2 linked regions of the Bombyx mori genome follow. The protein of the gene in region 1 purifies or fractionates together with the protein of each later gene. This does not show direct contact. Links are inferred from orthologs where the notes say so. Each region holds a gene or a part of one and is shown on either strand. Other genes may lie near its edges. The genes, in order: myotubularin-related protein 9 and ATPase inhibitor-like protein.

Region 1 (4,507 bases):
TATATTCCTAACATTAGTAAAATAACATTTTAATACGATAGGTAAGAGGATGGAAAATATGTATTTGGTCTAACTTAACGCCAATGCACATTATTTCATTTATTTATTTTTAAATTTTTTTAATTAAACTGTATACCAATTAATTGCTCCTTCAGGATTTATGTTTGTTTTTTTTTCACGATTAAAACCGCGTAGAAAGTTTAGGCATTATAGTTGACGCATGCGCAGTACACATATTTTGCATACATTTATTCAACTAATAAAAATAGTAAATTAAACAAAAAACGAGTAATTTCGAAAGAGAACAAACGTGTTTTATATAAGAACAATCGAAAATGAATATTTACGAGTCATTAAGGATGAAAAAATATTAAAAATTGCATTAGAGGGGCTAACTTGTAGGTATATTTTAAAATATTTTTTTTAAATAAATAACTGCAGAACAAATAATTATTAACAGTGAACAATCATGAACAAATGATGAACAAACGAATTAATAGAAAATAAGTATAAAATAGGAAAAAAAAAATTTTTTGAGGGGCTAACTTCATTCATCTCAAACTCATTCTGATAAAATCGTGCCTATTGTACTCTGTTGCATAGATTTAACTCTATTTAAAAAAAGTCTTCCTTTAGGAAATGGAACAAAGAAAAAAATTAGTCGACACTTCGTCAAAAAATTTAAAATTAAATTGCAATTGTTATCTTAAATTGTTTTTGAGTGTTATTTTCTACATATAAATAACAAAAGTAATAAATCAGTGTTATAATGTTTTTTTTAATGTATAAACTGATTACTATACTTATTATCAAAACAAAAAAATGTCTTGGTTATTATCTTATTAACTCCATGGTTATTATTTTGGCTTGTAGCGACGAAGTGAAGTCTATGCCCGTGTTTAAATCTCGCAGGGTCTGTCACGAAATACGTTCTTAATCCATATTTACGAACGACTTCTGTTAGGAAGAATTAACATTGTGTTATTTAAATCTAAATAACTTTTTTAAATTAAATAACGGGACAAATCACACACGGTCATCCAACCCCAAATTAGGATTCCTTGTATTGTATGTACCAGAGACTAAAAAAATATGAAATTCTTATATATTTACACATATTTAAATGTTGTCCTTGTAGGCTGACGAGCATACGGCCCTCCTGATGGTGAGTGGTTACCGTCGCCCATGGACTTCAGCAATGCCAGGGGCAGAGCCAAGCCGCTGCCTGTCGTCGAGTACTCTCCGGAAGCCTCTTTTGAAGAAGGACATGTCACAGCGTTCGGGAAACACCGGGGGGAAGTTCGTTTTAAATGCGTCGCAGAAATGATATCTGAAAATGCATTGAGAATGAATGAGTGTGGTTCCAGATTTAATGGATAAACTTTGCTTCAGTAGTGCGGGGTGGCGGGTGGTATGATGATCAAAACGAAATGATAGGATCATGCCAAATACATGATTCCTCGGAGATCTCGCCCTTCGAAGTCTCTCCATAGACCTAAATGCTCCAAACGCTCCGTAAGAATAGGGTTATCAACAATCCGAGCGGCCCTCTTCTCTATGGAGTCAAATGGAAGTAAACGGTTGGTAAGTTTAATTGAGTTTAGTCTATTCCATTTACATATCTACATCTTTGGTAGTTATAATCAACTTAAAGAAAATAAAATTATTTATAAGACTGTCAGTAGAAGTTAATTACTAATATCATTATTCATTTAATAAGCTAAGTCTTTTGATTGTCAATATCTCCCAGGTTAATGATATCTCCTCATTTGTGTGTCATTGTCATAGACTTGATCTTGATACTAAAATAAAAATTGAAGTGATTAATTTGATTGAGTCCGCGGAAAATAGAAATCGGAATAAATATATTCCTTTAAATTGATTTTTTTTTCAACATAAACGATATGATTAGAGATCTGCATCTCATGTAGATTAAGAATTTTCTAGTTCAATTTTGTAAGAAGTCTCGACTAAAACACAAAATCTATATTAAATCGAATAATCGTCTGAAATCAAGAATTATAAAAAAAAAGTTAATTATTATTATTAATAAAAAACCTTAGAATTTCATTTAATGTTCTTAAAATCGATTTTATTCCTTTTCTAGGTCCATGGACGAAAGTATCAACCTAGCGATGTTTTGTTGACATTGTTGACAAGCCCAACTTTGTGCTTAATTTGTCAAAACGTAAAACAGCTGCGCTAGTGTTCACTATTTAAATCTTAAAAACGAGAAGTTATGGAATTCATCGAACTTATTCATATTAACAAACTTAATGGAGTTATTCTTAAATATCCACGTCAAGATAATATAGACGGTACGGTGTGCATCACCGGACATCATCTTATATTGAGCTCCAGAAAAGAAGGCGTTCAGGAGTTATGGGTACAAAATTTCACTTCAAACAGTTCTGGATTGGCTTGGGCCAGATAACTAAAACTTTGAGTTCTGCTCAAAAACAGAGAGCAAACAATTAGCGATTTGTTAATTACGTGGTCTTCGAGGGTCGTTAATGCCTTGTTGCAATTAGAACTTAATAATCTTTAAATATTTTCAAAATTGTCGATTTGCATTTTATAATTAAATTTGCAAACATCCAGGGTAGATTTCATTTAAACCTTGATGATCATAGATAAGCAGTAAGCACCGATTTGGTTGTGCCCCTGGAATTGTCAATACCTATGAAATGTAATAAGCACTTGCCATGAGATGGATATTTTGCTCATCAAACATTAGGTCATTTTTTTATATTCATCACAATGAAATAAAATGTAGTCTAAGTTCTGTTTCTTGGGACATTTATTCCCTACTATATTTAATGTGAATTAACAGTAGTCAATAAATATCAGTGACTCCCCCTTAGGTAGCCCTGCTTACAAATAAAATAACTATATCTGAAAATCATTATGGTGTTCTGTAAATTATATATGTTAGTATATAAGTTATATATATTTATATGACTTAAAAGAATATTTTTTTTGCACAAACTATTAAACCTTTGCATAAATTAATACAAATACACGCAATAAGTTTTTATTTAAATATAAATGACCTGAATCATTTTAAGTTTAATAAGTAGTTTTAAAGTTTGTGTGTTTATTTTTAGTTCTACAGTATATTTAATTAATGGAACAGTTTGTACAGTGTATTTCTTTTGGCATTACAGTTACTGCACAAGAATATAGACAGCATAGAGAAAAAAGAAAACAAACCAAGCAGTGGCATCACACAGGGTGGTTCTCTGTTCCTCAAATGTAAAGACTTGAGAATTTTTCAACTGGATATTGCCAGTAGTACTGAATTAAATTTAATGGCACAGACCTTAGAGAATTTATCAAGTTTGCAAGATCCGAGTCTGTTTTACCCATTCTTTTATAGACATATGAATCCTATAGTTGAGAACGGATACACTTTATATAGGTAAGTTAATTTAATATACTGAAACATTTAAGAGAGCACTGATCTGAAGTGATATTCAAAAGCAAATTTTCATATTCAACTAGATGTTACTAAGCAAACTTTACAAGCACACCTAGTTATGTATGTACTGTAAATATATGGAATCTATCTAAATATATTATGGAATAAATATCTATATCTATTGGAAGTATGTAGTGCACTACTACAGATAAATCTATAGTTATATATTTAATGGTATTGGGGCATCTTGTGAACCCATATGGGACCATCACTCTGCTTATTTCTGGTGCAAAGCATTAGTGTTGTAAGTAATATAGAACTGAGACCTAGACCTCATGTCTCAAAGTGAGTAGTGGTATTTATGTTGTTAATCTCAATGGTCGCCAGTTACTAGATAACATTAAACCACAATACAACAACAACAATAAAAAACAAATTGCAGCTATACCCCCAAAGAGATGTACTACTGTGTATTGCGATGACTACTAGATGTACTATACCTACTGTATATACCTTACATACCTAGGTACCTAGTGCATTAACCTTCCCATCTTCTTAGCTAATACAAACCCTAAAAAATACAGTATAGAAGAAGAATTCACTAAAGTACTAGCAACGGAAGAGTGGAGAGTATCCAGAGCAAATCAAAATTACACAATGTGTTCAAGCTACGGTAAAGCTGTGGTTGTACCGAAAAACATCGATGATGAGACCCTAGTAGCTGCTGCTACATTCCGTCAAGGAGGCAGGATTCCTGTCCTGTCATATAGGCACACTAATGGTGTAAGTTTATTTCCTATCCATTTAATCATGATTTGATTGATTTAGATCAAAATTCTTAATAAAGCATGAAATCAATATTTTAATGATATGAGTTTAATGGCCTGTATAAATGTTAATTTTTTTTGTAAAGTAACTGGGTTACTTTCTGTCTATTGTTTGATATGTGTTACTGTAAGGCCTTCAAGGTCCACAATTATCATTTCATCCATGATTCTCTATATATCTCTTTTTTAAACATGGTTGCTAAATATCATGTTGCTAAATAGAAAAAATATGATATTTATATCCTATCTTCATTATATG
Region 2 (3,657 bases), on another chromosome or scaffold:
TCGTTAGTCTCGCTAAAACTCGAGAACGGCTGGACCGAGTTGGCTAATTTTGGTCTTGAATTATTTGTGAAAGTCCAGAAAAGGTTTAAAAGGTAGATAAATACAAAAATGCTTGGAATTAAATAAAAATAACAATTTGTTTTCCCTTTCAAGTGTCGCCCGTCGGACGGATTCCTTTTTTATGTTTTAAGTTTATTTTATACAAAAGCTTAGGTCTTTTATTTATCGATTGAGGCACTACGAAATCTGCCGGGTCAGCTAGTTATGATGTATTTTTCGTTCATACACAGTACCCAAAGGTTAGGTATCTACGTTCGGGTACGTATACTAAGTATTGTTAAGTAACAAAAAAATAATTGACATGTTTTTTCCTTAATTTAGAGATCTTGACCAGTCATGTTGCAGCGGTACAAATATAAATGGTTCGTCTTCGTCTACATTTGAAGTAATTTATAGAAATAGTAGAAATTCTCGAGAATTTGAAGCTTCTTGTACAACTTCTGAGCAAGATTCGACTGCCAATGACACTGAAATGGCTTTAGAAGAAAACAGAGATGTTGAAGAAAACATACAAAAATCAAGGCATGCATCAGTAATGACAGACTTTGAAGATATTGATGATGAAACGAATGACACGATCAGAAATCAAGCGAAAGAATTCTTAAAGTTAGTTGTCTGATATTGTACCATTACATTTTTGAAATTTAGTATCTCAAAACGCTTAGTGCCATCTAGAGCGTTTTTTTTAAACTATGTATTAAATTTTGTTTCGACCTATCTATTTTCACGCTCACATTTTTAGATATACCTGCACGGAAAGGCAAATAAAGATGGAGTCTTTAAAAGAAGAAAGGCAGGTTATTAGAGCAATGCGAGAAACTGCAGAATTAAATAAAATTATAGCTGAACAAAAACTAAAACATGTGTTATGGGTGAATAAACAACAGATGGCGTTAGTTTGAATCTTTTTCTCGTTTACTTTAATTCTAACATTTCTAACATAAGTCTTGTTTAATCATTTTTCCTTAAGTATAAAAAATGTTTTAAATATTTTTTTAACAAATTTTTAAATTCAATTTTAAAATATTATTTTCAAAACGTACTTGGTAGATGTTTTCGAACGCTTCAAGAGCATAGTGATATTTTGAGAAACGTCAAGTGTGCTGGTTTTTCATTCTTGATAGAAAATCCTGAATAATTTGGAAAAATCACAGCGAATTTTGATACAATTTAAACATTAACGAAAATCATGAATTTCCTTCCCAAAACAAGAACGTCATTCGTGCGTGCTATCGTCAATGTTAGGTAAGGGCTTAGCAAGAGCCACAAGCGGCCGGCAGGTTACGCAACAAATTTGAAAAGCGCATTTAGAGAATGTTTTTTACTTTTGCAATAACGTAAATTGATATTATTTTTGGTTTTTGAGTACTGTTTAATACATTGTGACTAGAAACTTGAGCATGGCAATAAATGAAAACAATTTCTTAGTTTCATTGTTTAAAGTCACATTTTTAATCATTCAGTAGACAGATGGTAGGTAGGTAGGTATTTAGGTATTTACTCATCTATTGTCAATGATGCAATAAAATAAACAATAACTCTGAATCATCATAATATTTTAATTGTGTGGCAATTTGTATCCCCCATTTAAACCATATTTGTAATTTCAGTTCTTATTTAAAAAAAAAACAACCATCTTTTAAAATTTACATCATAGATTCAGAAAAATTATTTGAGATGATTTATTAGTAACTTTTTACCCTAAAATTCTTAAACCATATATGTGCAAAACTCAGAAAGGCAAATAATATGTTTTTATTAAATATTAAACTCAATAGTAGGATTTAATATAATTTGATTATAGAATGTATGCAGGCGAACCTGGATCTGGAGCCGGTAAGGGTGGTGGTGGTGGTGGTTCGATTCGAGAAGCCGGTGGTACCTTCGGTAAAATGGAAGCTGCTAGAGAAGATGAATACTTCTACAAGAAGGTATAGAATATTTTAGTCTCATAAGATGTAAACTTTGGAAGCTGGAAAGGCTATACCACTTTTATTATAAACTAGCTGACCCGGCAGACTTCCTAGTGCCTCAATCGATAAACAAAATACCTAACTTTTGTATAAAATAAACTTAAAACAAACAAAAGGAATTGTCTGACGGGGGACCCACAAAGGAAAACAAAATTGTTATTTTTATTAAATTCCCAGCATTTTCAAATTTATCTAATCCTTTTAAATCTTCTCTGGACTTCCACAAATAATTCAAGGCCAAAATTAGCCAAATCGGTCCAGCCGTTCTCGAATTTTAGCAAGACTAACGAACAGCAATTCATTTTTATATATATAGATAGAAGATACAGATATTCTGTTAACCTTCAATCGAATGTGGAGCTACTGCCAGAAAATCCTGCGTTAACTTGAAAAACTAGATTTCGCTTGTCTGTTTTTGGTTTAGTTATGAGTATAATAGTAGAATAGAACAGTGTTATTTATTTATTCTATAGATTAAAATGATCTAATCCCTAAATTATGTTTTGTGGTAATGGGAGCAACTTTATAGTGGCAACCATGAATTTAAAGCTTCAATTAATTAAATTGTATAAATGGGGGAACACTTTGTATATGAATCAATGATTAGTCAGGTCAGTGGTACTTACCCACGTGGACAGTATCGCTCCTGAAGTTAATATGAAATACATGGGCTACAGATGCCTTCTTAATCATCAATCAACATTTGAGCTGGGTTTTTTTCATTGACAGCAAAAGGAACAACTAGCAAACCTGAAGGGGCACTTGAACAAGGAGATTGCCTTCCACCAGGAGCAGATCAAACGACATGAGGATGCGATCAGGCGTCACAAAGAACAAATGTCTGACATTGAAAAGCCCCAATGAACTGGACATCGATAGTGATAGTTTTCGAAGGCCTAAGAATATTCCTACAAAACAAAGAAGAATATAAAATTTATATTGTTTTAAGTAAACTCTCCGGCTTTTATTTTCTCTAGTTACTAAATTTCAAAATAAAAAACTAAGTAATTTTTGTGTAGTATTTTTCTTAAATCAATACATAGAGCTGGTATTGATAAGTTAAATTAATGAACAGTGACTTGCTTTTCTCTTTGGTATTGGATTTGATTTAAGTATTACTTATCAAAGATTTATTAAATGAAGTTTCAATACAACAATAGTCACTGCCTTTTAAATGATTTACTCGTTTTAGAAGCGCAAATATACTATCATACGTGAATAACTCTGCTAATAATTTCTAATTCATATACTTTTTTTTTTTTTAACGCTGGGGATTCCATTTACCCGGTCGAGGGGGGTAACGGACCGGGCTATGTCGAACTCCGGCGCCTCCTGAGAGGAAGAAGGGGAGAAGAGAAGGGCCGAGGTCCTTCACCTCCCCCAATTTCTCACAGGAGACTACGCCTTGAAAAAGGCGCGTGAAGCACTTGCCCCGCAGAACGACTACCGACTAAACCCCATCGAGCTCCACCACACCGACTACGCGAAACTTACGGTACCGCGATGCGCGCCGAATTCAAAATTCATATACCTAGCAGCATTGATGCTTGCGTTAAAATTCAAATTTTATCTATATGAAATAGGATGTGCCTGTGAATTCACCAGCATTAAATTTGTAAGTCGG

What was found.
Region 2: the proteins of myotubularin-related protein 9 (region 1) and ATPase inhibitor-like protein purify together in Homo sapiens (affinity purification with mass spectrometry; 5 studies listed by BioGRID and IntAct, with this or other methods). This does not show direct contact. The link is inferred for Bombyx mori from reciprocal best matches to the Homo sapiens genes MTMR9 and ATP5IF1.

What each region holds. Positions count from the first base shown.
Region 1 is NC_085121.1:12,311,169-12,315,675, reverse strand, and holds the start of myotubularin-related protein 9, read left to right. Parts: upstream 1-1,387; 5' UTR 1,388-1,584; intron 1,585-2,107; 5' UTR 2,108-2,239; coding exon 2,240-2,386; intron 2,387-3,167; coding exon 3,168-3,421; intron 3,422-4,005; coding exon 4,006-4,204; intron 4,205-4,507. UniProt on the Homo sapiens protein: Acts as an adapter for myotubularin-related phosphatases. Increases lipid phosphatase MTMR6 catalytic activity, specifically towards phosphatidylinositol 3,5-bisphosphate and MTMR6 binding affinity for phosphorylated phosphatidylinositols.
Region 2 is NC_085111.1:3,390,229-3,393,885, reverse strand, and holds ATPase inhibitor-like protein, read left to right. Parts: upstream 1-1,249; coding exon 1,250-1,305; intron 1,306-1,864; coding exon 1,865-1,991; intron 1,992-2,762; coding exon 2,763-2,897; downstream 2,898-3,657.